Lytechinus pictus: one gene and its partners. The protein of the gene in region 3 purifies or fractionates together with the protein of the main gene of each other region. This does not show direct contact. Links are inferred from orthologs where the notes say so. Each region holds a gene or a part of one and is shown on either strand. Other genes may lie near its edges. The genes, in order: DNA damage-binding protein 2-like, cullin-2-like and COP9 signalosome complex subunit 6-like.

Region 1 (3,961 bases), on a different chromosome or scaffold from region 3:
TTACATGGAACTTGGAAATACAAATCATAATTTGGTTGAACAAAATGTTTTCTGTTAAAGTATAAAACAGAAGAGGAACATATCCTTCACGTATTTTTATATCCAAAATATGTTGCCTTAGTATGGAATAATCACAATGACATAAAATGAAAATGGGTAAAGTACCTTCCTAATGATCATTGAGATTTCGCCTATGGAATCATTGTTTAATAATTTTCAAAGCTTTAAATAGATGAAAATGTTCATTGAGAAAATATACATATATATATATATGAACAAAATGATAATGTCCCGATTGTTTCGCATTACGTGTGTTAGATTGCGGGCGTTTGTGTGTGTGTGTAGGAAGCAAGATATTCGTGTTAATGTTTGCACAAAAAAGGAGAGGGAAAGGGAAAGGAAAAGGGGAGGGGGAAAGGTAGAGGAGAGAGAGGGAAAAGGAGACCATAAAATAGAAAGAAAACAAAGGAAAGGAAGAGGGGAAGGGAGAGAGAAAGAAAAATGGAAATAGCGAGAAAAGAGTAGGGGAGGGAGAAAGGAAAGAAAAGAAGGGAAAGGAAAAAGGGAGAAAGGGAATGGAGGGGGCGGGAAAGGAAAGGAGAGACAATAAAAGACAGATCAGGGGAGGGGGAAAAGTAGAGGAGAGAGAGGGAAAAGGAGGCCATAAAATATATATAGGTCTCCTCATCATGGTTATAAAAAGTGCTCAGAATGTTTTATTTTCAAGTCCTTGTATCAGAATTTTCAGCTCGGGCAGCTCTATCGCATTTTGATTACTATCCTGTTGATTTATTTACTTGAACAAAATATTTAAAATGTCCAGCTTTTAGAACAGATATCAAAAAAAGGTATTCACCTTTGATCATAGATGAGGAAGAAGAAAAAAGTGCAAAAAAATAGGAAACAAACTAACGAATTAATGGGACATAATTTTTCTTCATTTCAAGGCGACTCTTGACTTTACATTTCATCATCGCTGATGGCGCTACAAATAATAGAAAATACCGCTTGACAGCAAAAAAAAAAAACAGAAAGAGGAAAATAATGCTGAGCGTCTAAAATGCAGCTAGCAGTACAACCTGCAGAACCGTAAACAAACATCTTGTGAATAATATCGCGCGCCCTCTTTAAGCAAAAGTTTACAACCACAATGACCCTGCGGTATCTACGTGAAGATCACGAGAAAATGCTTTTTTTTTCTTAAAAACACACCAAAGAGAAGACAAGAAACGATCCATATGGTTCGGTAAGTGTCATAGCACAATTAGAAACATTATTTTAAAAGAAATGGCATAGTTATTTTAGTAAAAAGGGTGTGAAAAATTCGCGTGCACCATGTGCATATGAATCCTTCGCACGCGAGATGCATTGATCCCATGAGTGGGATATATCTAGGCTATATACCATTGAATTAGTATATAGCTATAGGTCTTGACATCGTTGTGTTGGCTGACCAACGATTGGGTAGTGAGCAGTGTCGGGGTATTCTGCAGTTAAGCCCAAATATTTGTCATTGATTGACCGTACACGTCTTCTTTTTGTAATTGTATCAACAAACAACAAGTATAAATTGATTTGACTTTGTCAAAATTGATATATCCCTTCAATCATCATTCAATGTAAATTAGCTCCTGAATTTTGCAACTGATTCCAAATATTTTACTGTAACATCCCCTAAGATGTTATTCCAGGCTTCGTTGAGAGTAAGCATACGTTAGTAAATTATTTTTACTCTCTAGAAGCCTCCTGGCTAGTCATGCCATGGTTGTCGTATTGTTTCTCCCTCCCGATCCCGGCTCCCTGGAGCGACACCGCGCGCCGCGATCCACTCACCACAGTTCTGCTTCTGGCTCTGCTGCTGGATCTGGATCGAGTTTTGGAAACTTTTTCTTTCGGGAGTTTCGCGACATCTCCGACAGTTGTCACAATGCATCCCTTAGATCCATCTTTCTTTTTCCTTGACATAGACGGTGCCATTTTAAGCGATTCAGGGATCACAAATTTCATCAAAATCTAGCTTCGCCTCTGACACATCTCAGTGCGGTGGCAGTACATTTGAAGTACGTCCACGTGCTTATATTTCATAAGCTCATGTCAGCTGTTTGATGTTTACAAAATAGGACTTGCGTAACATTTTTCCCGCGATATGGTCCATATCGAGAAGTGGAACTGTCTCCAATGAATTTTTATATGCAATAATGTTTTGATGCACTATGATAAATTAAATATTTATATATTAAAAAGTAATAATTTGTTTATTTCATTTACAGTTAAAGTGTTAAATATTGTTAAAAGTTTTTATCGTCTTTACAAACTCGGCAAATGGGTACGTGCAAGAAAACCGGAAGTAAATCAGACTGACCTGGGAGTTCCATCCAGGTCAAGGTGTACAGTGCATGCAGGACAGAACTTGATTGCAGTTCCTCTTCGAATACCCACCTCTTTTACTCACCTGTACGACTGTATTTCATCTCAAAAGACAAAATGGCAAGTGGAAGGCGTTTCTTTGTTGGTGGAAACCACAAGATGAATGGAAACAAGGCGTCGATCGATGGAAATTTGAAAATATTGGAAGAAGCACAGATTCCTGGAAACACCGGTAATATATTGTCGAGCTGCGCTGAGCGGCCGCGGGCACGGCCATTGCCACTGTCACTGACTGTCTGGCACTGGCACTCTGGCAGTGACACTGACAATGCTGAACATGGTGTAAAAAATGCCCATGTAATGATAATTAATGTTGTCGGTCGGGGGGGGGTTGTAACTTGTATATTTCATGCTTTTTGGAATTGGTCACCAAAACGAAGTTGCATTTTCTTTCAATATTTAGGCCCCTATTTGTGAAATAGAAAAAAGTTTGCTTTAATTTTTCAGAAGAATCAAGACAATTTGTCATGTTTGTCAATTATCATGCAAAATGTTTTACTTTTTTCATTTTTCAATCTCTTTTTATTTTAGAAGAAATAATTAAAAGAATCAAATTTACTTAAGAGCCAAGTTATAATAATAATATGATTAGCTGTAATGGACTCTGACAGTGTCACACAATCAAGCAATTATTCCAGAGAAAAGAGAACATTGCCAACCTTATTTTGGCACACATGGGCACACATCCTCTACTTTGAATGCCCTCTACCAAGGTGCTTCAAGCCGTGTCACCTGGAAAGGTTCTGTCAGTTCCTTCATCCCACTAAACAAGGGTGTCAGACAAGGAGGAATACTCTCTCCCACGCTGTACAACGTATTCGTTGATGGCCTCGTCAAGACTCTCCGGGACAAGGGGCTTGGCTGCACCTTCCAGAATAGATACGCAGGTGTAATTATCCTTGCTGATGATGTTGCCCTTCTTGCAAGTTCTCCCACTGAACTTCAGCAAATGCTGAATGTCACAGATGAATATGCCACTCATTGGGAAAACTCTATCAATCCCTCAAAAAGTGCCATCCTCATCTTCAAGTCAAAGCGCAGCATCCACCCATCCTTCCAATTCTTCATTGACGGTGACAGAATCAGAGAGGTCTCTCATCATCCCCACCTTGGCATCACCAAATCAACCATCGCGTATGACCACACTCAACACATAATCACCAAGGGATACAACACCCTCTTTGCCATCATCGGTAGCAACAGCAGCAATAACCTCTTCCTCCCCCACACCCTTGCGAAGCTCTGGAAAACTTTCTGCCTACCCCGAATGACCTATGGCTCACAGCTCCTGTGTTTCACTCAAACCTCACTCAAACACTCCCTTTTCAAGAAACTCTTGGGTCTACCGAGATCTGCCCCCAATATCTCTATCTTCCTGTTAACTGACCTACTTCACCTCTCCCGCGAGATTGAACTAAACACTTTCCTTCTGATAGGACAGCTCTTCAACATTGACCATATTAGATTTGAATTTTGCTCATTCCTCCATGCCCTCTCCATCAAGACTCCTACTATCATCTATTGGAATAAACTG
Region 2 (3,600 bases), on a different chromosome or scaffold from region 3:
AAATAATAATGAACCTGAAGTTTCAACATAAATCTTTTTATAACAGCCTATGGCTGTATTGTTGTATGTTTTGTTCGTTTACTTTCAAGTGTATTTGTGATGCCTTTTCGTTTCAATGTCACATAATTGTTGAGAAGTGTGATATGATGTCCCGGAAAGACTTTCTTATGTCCCCTCCACTAATTGAAAAAGTACTTCTCCAAACGCCCTTCTTTCGTTATCTTTTTCTTATTTTTTTCCTTCTTACTTCCGGTTGGATTCTTGGATTTGAACCTCTTGCTGCAGCACATGGCATCTCCAGTCTGTCGCCTTACTCACTGAGCTAGCAGGAATTGTTGAAAGCCATGGGTTTCATAACGGTTGTCAACCGATATATCCAATAGTATTGGGTATTCACTTTTCTGACTAAATAAACCAATGCCATTGGAAATTACACACTCAAGATTTTGACGGAATAAAGCCTTTTTTTGGTATGTATCCAACTTTACCTTCCTAAATCTCTTAGATATGTGTTAGATAATTCTTGATAAACCTTCTCCATATTTTTTTTTTCAATTTTAGTGGAGGGGACATATGGAAGCCTTGCCGATGTCCCTGGGGGTATCCTTTAGGTTTGGCCTTGGGGCAAGGCGTTCATGTGGATGAGTTACTCATCGTGAACACTCCTAGTACGGTAGTGTTCTCCTCCATTTGACATGATTACACCGTGAGCGCACACTCACCGAAACACACAAGAAGACTAATTTTCATGATAATGACAACTGGTTGCCTACTTTCACCTTGATTCATCTAACTAATAGTTTCTAACACAATTTCACAACATGACAATAAAATTGTGCTTTTAGGTTAAGTTACATTGCATCGCCACTGGGTGATTTCAAGTACGGTGTTGAAATCTGGTGTTGGTGTTGTGAAAACATCAACACCAGCCACAACACCGTACTTGAAATATCACGCAGGTGTTGGGATTGACCTCAGAAAATATGATGTATTTCCGGCAGTTCGTGTTGAATTTCGTCTGCTGAACTGAACATTACAGCTGGTGTTGACGATCTACATGTAATTTCCCCATTCACCAACACCAACCCCCAGGGATTGGGAAAATCGTGATTTCAAATTCGGTGTTGATGAACTGTAGCTCATGAACAGGCGGTGAACACAATGAAACATCCCTGTAAAATTATCTTTTACAGTTAAGATGAAAATGATATTTACGCTTTCCGATTCTTGCAGTAATTTTAATCTTTGCATTCTGTACAATAAGATTTTATTGCAATTTCTCCCTGATTTCACTTCCGCCGTCGAGAATTTCTCGCGTGAAGTTGAGATGATCAGCAGCGCAGGGCAGAGGCGTGACATCTTACTAGCTATCGATAACACGATCGGTATCGCTCCTCTGAACCCAGATCGGTGTTGGAGCTCGGTTTAGCAGCCTTTTCACGCTTAACACCAACACCGAAACTGAACACCGTAGATCTAAGTTACTAAATAACAGTTATGGTTGGAACTACCCCTTATTGACCACCTAATCTTCTAAGCATCATATCTGCGAAAATATTCATCAATTTTACCCAGTTTTCGTCTCATTTGTGCAGAAAATTGAGCAGATCAAATTCCCATGTTTCGCTCGGCGACTCCGATTCAATCCGCGTATATATCGACGAACAACGAATACGACGATTTTGCATTTGCTCATTTGCACCCGTCTTTTGAAACCGACCACCCGCGATACACTAAGTTTACGGCCGATTCTTGTCGCGGTGGCGAAATATTTTTATTCTTCCAAATCAGTTCTATGATGTCAACATGCTAAATGATTGTCTCACTACTTCCACTGCGAGCTCCGGCACATGATTCGATGATTGACGACGGATATTTGTTCTAAAGCCGTTTCCTATCGGATTTCTTGGTTTTTCAGCGGGGTTTGGGTCTGGTCAATACAATTTTGATTAATTCTAGGCCTACTAAATTTTAACTTTTTGTTGCTTCTTTTTCTCTCGTAAAATCGATTCTTACCGTTTCCATGGACACTGCGCCTACTCTCCCGCGCGTATCGTTTGTAATACGCAATAATTTTAACGCGCGCAAGGTGGTCGGTTTCAAAAGAGGTGGTCGATATGTGGTAGTCTCACCATACTTGAATTTTGAAATCACCCACTGTCAATGACAATGTCATTGACATTCACATTGACGAGCAGACGAGTGGTTCCAAACACCACAACATGATTTTGAATCATTTTGTAAATAATCTGTGATAAGTGTAAGGCTGCTTTTTTCTGTTGTGTTTATGATATCAGATTTTCTAGATATTAACTGAATGTTTAGACAACCGGCCGCAAATCGCGCAATTGACGAAAACCTGCCATTGCCATATTTAAGGGAGTTGGCCCAGCGCAGATCCTTACGAGAGGGACTGAAGTGAAGAAAGCAAAAGCAAAGTTGACGCCTTGACAATTTCCAGAACATTCAGAAGTGCAGTTTCTCACCTTCAAAGAAGACCTTTCCTCTGTCTTTCCTATGCCCTACTGTGTTACTCAGTATTTGTGATCAAAAGCTTATTAAAGGTGAATGATGATGTCACTGCCGGAGTAGAGTCAGCCAACAATAAGCTAGCCAACAGCAAGCCAGCCAACAGTTCCAGCCAACAATATCGCGATGTAAGATAGATCAGATACAGGATTTTGCGCACGAAGAGAAGCGTGCATTCTTGTACACAAATCAAACAAACGGGGTCAGGTGGGGTTTCCCTTCTTTCAATTTGTAAAGAAACACAACGGGCTAGTGCTTTAATTTTAGTAGCCCACACCCCTATATACTCTATGTTTTTTCGTATATTGAGGAGTAAATTTCAACAAAAAGTCCTCTTTATAAAATACAATTGGAAGATTGCTCCTGAAATATATTTTGGGTGTGTGTAGGGGGGTTTCCCTTCTTTCAATTCGTAAAGAAAAACAACGGGCTAGTGCTTTAGTTTTAGTAGCCCACACCCCTATATACTCTATGTTTTTTCGTATATTGAGGAGTAAATTTCAACAAAAAGTCCTCTTTATAAAATACAACTGGAAGATTAATTGCTCCTGAAATATATTTTGGGTGTGTGTAGGGGGGTTTCCCTTCTTTCAATTTGTAAAGAAAAACAACGGGCTAGTGCTTTAGTTTTAGTAGCCCACACCCCTATATACTCTAGGGTTTTTCGTATATTGAGGAGTAAATTTGAACTAAAAGTCCTCTTTATTAAATACAATTGGAAGATTGCTCCTGAAATATATTTTGGGTGTGTGGAGGGGGGTTTCCCTTCTTTCAATTTGTAAAGAAAAACAGGGGGCTAGTGCCTTAGTTTTTGTAGCCCACACTCATATACATTCGTATATATATATTCCACGTTTTTATATATATTGAGGAGTAAATTTGAACTAAAAGTCCTCTTTATAAAATACAATTGGAAGATTGCTCCTGAAATATATTTTGGGTGTGTGTAGGGGGGTTTCCCTTCTTTCAATTCGTAAAGAAAAACAACGGGCTAGTGCTTTAGTTTTAGTAGCCCACACCCCTATATACTCTAGGTTTTTTCGTATATTGAGGAGTAAATTTGAACTAAAA
Region 3 (3,600 bases):
CAGAAGGAATGGTGTAAAGAAGAAAGCAGAACACAAAATATAGGGCTAATCACTGGCGGATCCGGGGGGGGGGGGGGCAAATCTCGCCCCTTTGAAAGTGAACACTTTTTTTTCCTTGTCAAACTTTTTCGTGGACAAGATGTGCCTAATTTTTGGTTAAAAACCTTCTTTTTTGTTTGCTTGTCAAATTTTTCCTCGGGAAAATGTGCCCCCCCCCCTTTGGAAAATCCTGGATCTGCAAGTCAATATCAGGTCCCAAAGTCACTTGAAAGTCATGCATTTCATTGCAAATTTGCAATTGATTGATGGTCTGCTCCTTGCATTGATAAACAAATTATAAATTGATTTATTTTAGGTAGAATTTATCGGTCACTTTGCAATTGATTTCAAATATTTTTTTTGCAACACCTTCTAAAAGACATCAATTCTGCACAAAACAACAAGAATTGAACATTGAATTGTTGAATTCCAGAGCTTTGTCCTTGTTGTCTGAACCAACAATGCACATGATAAAATGGAATACATTGCAAAATCGTTGAGCCAATTACCAGCAAGGCAATTGAAACTGTGAGGTGTTTTGATTGTCCTGGCAAGCTGTTGGCCCAATGACATTGCATAACGGCTTTCTATGACAAAAAAAGTCAAATGGTCTGGGCCCCTGCAACACAAAGTTTATCTAGCAATTATGAAATGGCCTATCAAGATCATCGTTGCATGCGCATTTTGCTCATACTAGTACTACTTACTAAGAACCAATAAGAACTGTTCTTTAAAATCAGTGACTAATCACTAACTTTTGACTTTGATGGAATAACCAGTTTTTCTTTTTAGAATTAAAATTCTTCTTGCACTTTTGCAGTTCTTTCCGTTCTTAAATTAAAAAAAACTTTTGACTATTTGTTTGGTCTAATTTTGTAGCATTTTTCGAAGAAAAGTCAGATTTCAATATTAGTAAAAACATATCATATTCACATGTTTATATCTTGACACAGACAGGGGAGCCAGGCGCTAGTGTAGTTTTGCACCTCCCCGTTTAATGGTTTTCAAACATGTACAATCTCACCCTAAATAATTCACAACCTAAAATACTTGCATCTGAGCCTCCAAAGTCCAGTAGAAGTTGAATATTTGCCGTTTTGACACTTTTTTTTACAAAGTTTTACAACTATTTCGGAATCACTCGGTCGCTTGAAGCTCAGCGCTGCACATAAGCAGTCGGTACGCGTACAGTACGTACCAACTAGTGAAGTGCAAGAAGAGCGAGTTTTTCTATGGTATCTTCAAAAAGATTTTTTCCCCTCTTTCAGCTTGCACCAAGTATTACGGTAGTGGTTGTGCAGAGTGGTTGATGTTTGTTGTGTGAAGGTGTGTGTGGGGTGTGCGTGTGTGTGCTTGTTTGAATGAAATAAGAAATGTAAAAAATGTGAATACACGTAGATTTAGCGATGAAATAAGAAATAATAATGTAGAGCCTTGTTTTGAACTCTAGACCTAGAGTTCAAAACAAGGCTCTAAACCGAGACCGAGTGTTTCCGAAATAGGTGTAATTTGTAAAACTTTGTAAAAAAGTGTCAAAACGGCAAATATTCAACTTCTACTGGACTTTGGAGGCTCAGATGCAAGTATTTTAGGTTGTGAATTATTTAGGGTGAGATTGTACATGTTTGAAAACCATTAAACGGGGAGGTGCGAAACTACACTAGCGCCGGGAGCCAACTTCAGCCAACCTTGTTACACTCACACAATCACAGACACAGCATCATTGACATTGTCACATTCACAGTCACTCACACGTCTTTGTGAACACACATGATATACAATGCGTGGGACAATGTAGAGTACAAATACAATTACAAAACTGTCTTACCCTGGGTAGGTTTTCCTTCTTGTGCACGGATTCTAGTCCAATGTTCTGAAATATTCATGACAACCAGGGGATGAAGAGCAACTGCCACGCTTCCTGTCCCTCCAGAAGCCATAACAGCTGACTGTGAAGAGGATGAACTCCCTTCGATTTCCATTTCCGACGCCATCTTGAACTTGATGTAGTCTTTGACTTGATTACGTAACGAATATGGGCGTGGCTTACCATAATTTTCATTCACAGGATCGGATCAGAATTTGAGTGCGGTGGAAAAATGAGTCAGACATTATTTTCGTCTTTCGGAGTTTGTTTCATGAATTTTTCCATTCAAGTTGAGCTAAAAATCGAGGGAGTGGATCTATAAGTTATTTGTTTGTGATATTTTCAACAAAGATGGCAGATCCTACGAGCGCACCGCTTGAAGAATGCCCGTTGTTTAATGGTGACGTTACAAAATGTGTGAGTGTAGCTGTAGTCGCAGTCTTAACATTTGATTTGGCCAGAGGTCCCCCGTGCAATCCCGGCTTTGCCTTGGCTTTGGCCGGGGCTTTTTAGGGGTTCGTTTGGTTTAGGCTAGGCTAGATCTAAAAAAAAAAAAACAGTTTGCATTTTTTTTAAAGAAACAGATGTGGAAGCAAAATGAGCATGCAAAATAAACAAGAGGCAAGAAATAAGATGGGGAAAAACGTTTATTGTAATTGTAAAATGACATGATTGAATGAGATGAAAAAAGAAAATGAATGGGAATGGCATGATATAATTTATGATGAGGAGTCCGACTCCAACCTCCAAGAAGTCAACTGAAAACAAATATAAGAACAAGGTATATTGGTTGGTTGGTTGGTGTTGGAGTTAAGTTGGCGCTCTTCAATCTGGTAGATTATCTGCGCCAGGTCGTTTCCGAGTTAGTTGCTTAATTCCCGCATCAATGTCCTCGGCGTTAGACTAGTCTTACCTGTCATATAGCGAGGTGCAATATAATTATGATTAGTTACCATATATTGCTAATCAGAACTGCAATGCATCATGGGATTGAAAAGGGGGCAAGCTAGCTGCTATTCAGACGACTGTTCACAATCACATTTCGACTTGCGGCTGGGAGTAACGTAATCCTTATTTTCACAATTTCAAGAATTTTCATCATGCCAGGTGACCGGTGGTGATCATTGGGCTGTTTTTGGTTGTGTCTCTGCCCCCTTTTTGATCCCATCATGCTTTGCGGTGCAGCGACCTCTGTTGATATTTGCTGATTCGCGATAAACCTTATTAACCTAAAAGATTGATCTTGACGTTGCTTGTAAAATTAACAAGTTGAAAGGTAGGGAGAAGGAGGTGAAAGCTTTATTCTTCATTTGATTTCCTGGGATTAATTTTTTGTAGTCTATTTTAAACATGAACGTTATAATGAAATGAAACCATACTTTTTCAACATTGTTACTTTAGATTAAGGGGAATCTAACCTTGGACCTTGGTATTCAATAGACTGAAAATTTTGAAGTCTCTGTTTTGTTGGGTGGTGGAATATGTCTTGGTTCACTATTCCTCCTCCATAGACCAAAGTCATTGTTTCCACTCTGATATGTCTGCAGCCAGTGCAGGAACCTATTGTATTAAACCCCAAAATTCAGATTGATTTTGACTGTTAATACAAACATTTTCATCAAAATATATTAAAAATGATCAGAATCTTGTCTGATTCACCACCTCAGTGCAATTTTGTGACAAATTAAGAATAA

What was found.
Region 1: the proteins of COP9 signalosome complex subunit 6-like (region 3) and DNA damage-binding protein 2-like purify together in Homo sapiens (affinity purification with mass spectrometry; 8 studies listed by BioGRID and IntAct, counting the BioPlex papers as one, with this or other methods). This does not show direct contact. The link is inferred for Lytechinus pictus from reciprocal best matches to the Homo sapiens genes COPS6 and DDB2.
Region 2: the proteins of COP9 signalosome complex subunit 6-like (region 3) and cullin-2-like purify together in Homo sapiens (affinity purification with mass spectrometry; 5 studies listed by BioGRID and IntAct, counting the BioPlex papers as one, with this or other methods). This does not show direct contact. The link is inferred for Lytechinus pictus from reciprocal best matches to the Homo sapiens genes COPS6 and CUL2.

Annotation. Positions count from the first base shown.
Region 1 is NC_087258.1:23,628,667-23,632,627, forward strand, and holds the start of DNA damage-binding protein 2-like, read right to left. Parts: upstream 2,355-3,961; 5' UTR 2,008-2,354; coding exon 1,834-2,007; intron 1-1,833.
Region 2 is NC_087257.1:3,627,495-3,631,094, reverse strand, and holds the start of cullin-2-like, read right to left. Parts: upstream 2,665-3,600; 5' UTR 2,487-2,664; intron 1-2,486.
Region 3 is NC_087260.1:11,647,376-11,650,975, reverse strand, and holds the start of COP9 signalosome complex subunit 6-like, read right to left. Parts: upstream 2,350-3,600; 5' UTR 2,324-2,349; coding exon of another isoform or gene 2,258-2,323; 5' UTR 2,034-2,257; coding exon 1,868-2,033; intron 1-1,867. Other genes in the region: cyclic AMP receptor-like protein A, read left to right, coding at 2,258-2,323. UniProt on the Homo sapiens protein: Component of the COP9 signalosome complex (CSN), a complex involved in various cellular and developmental processes.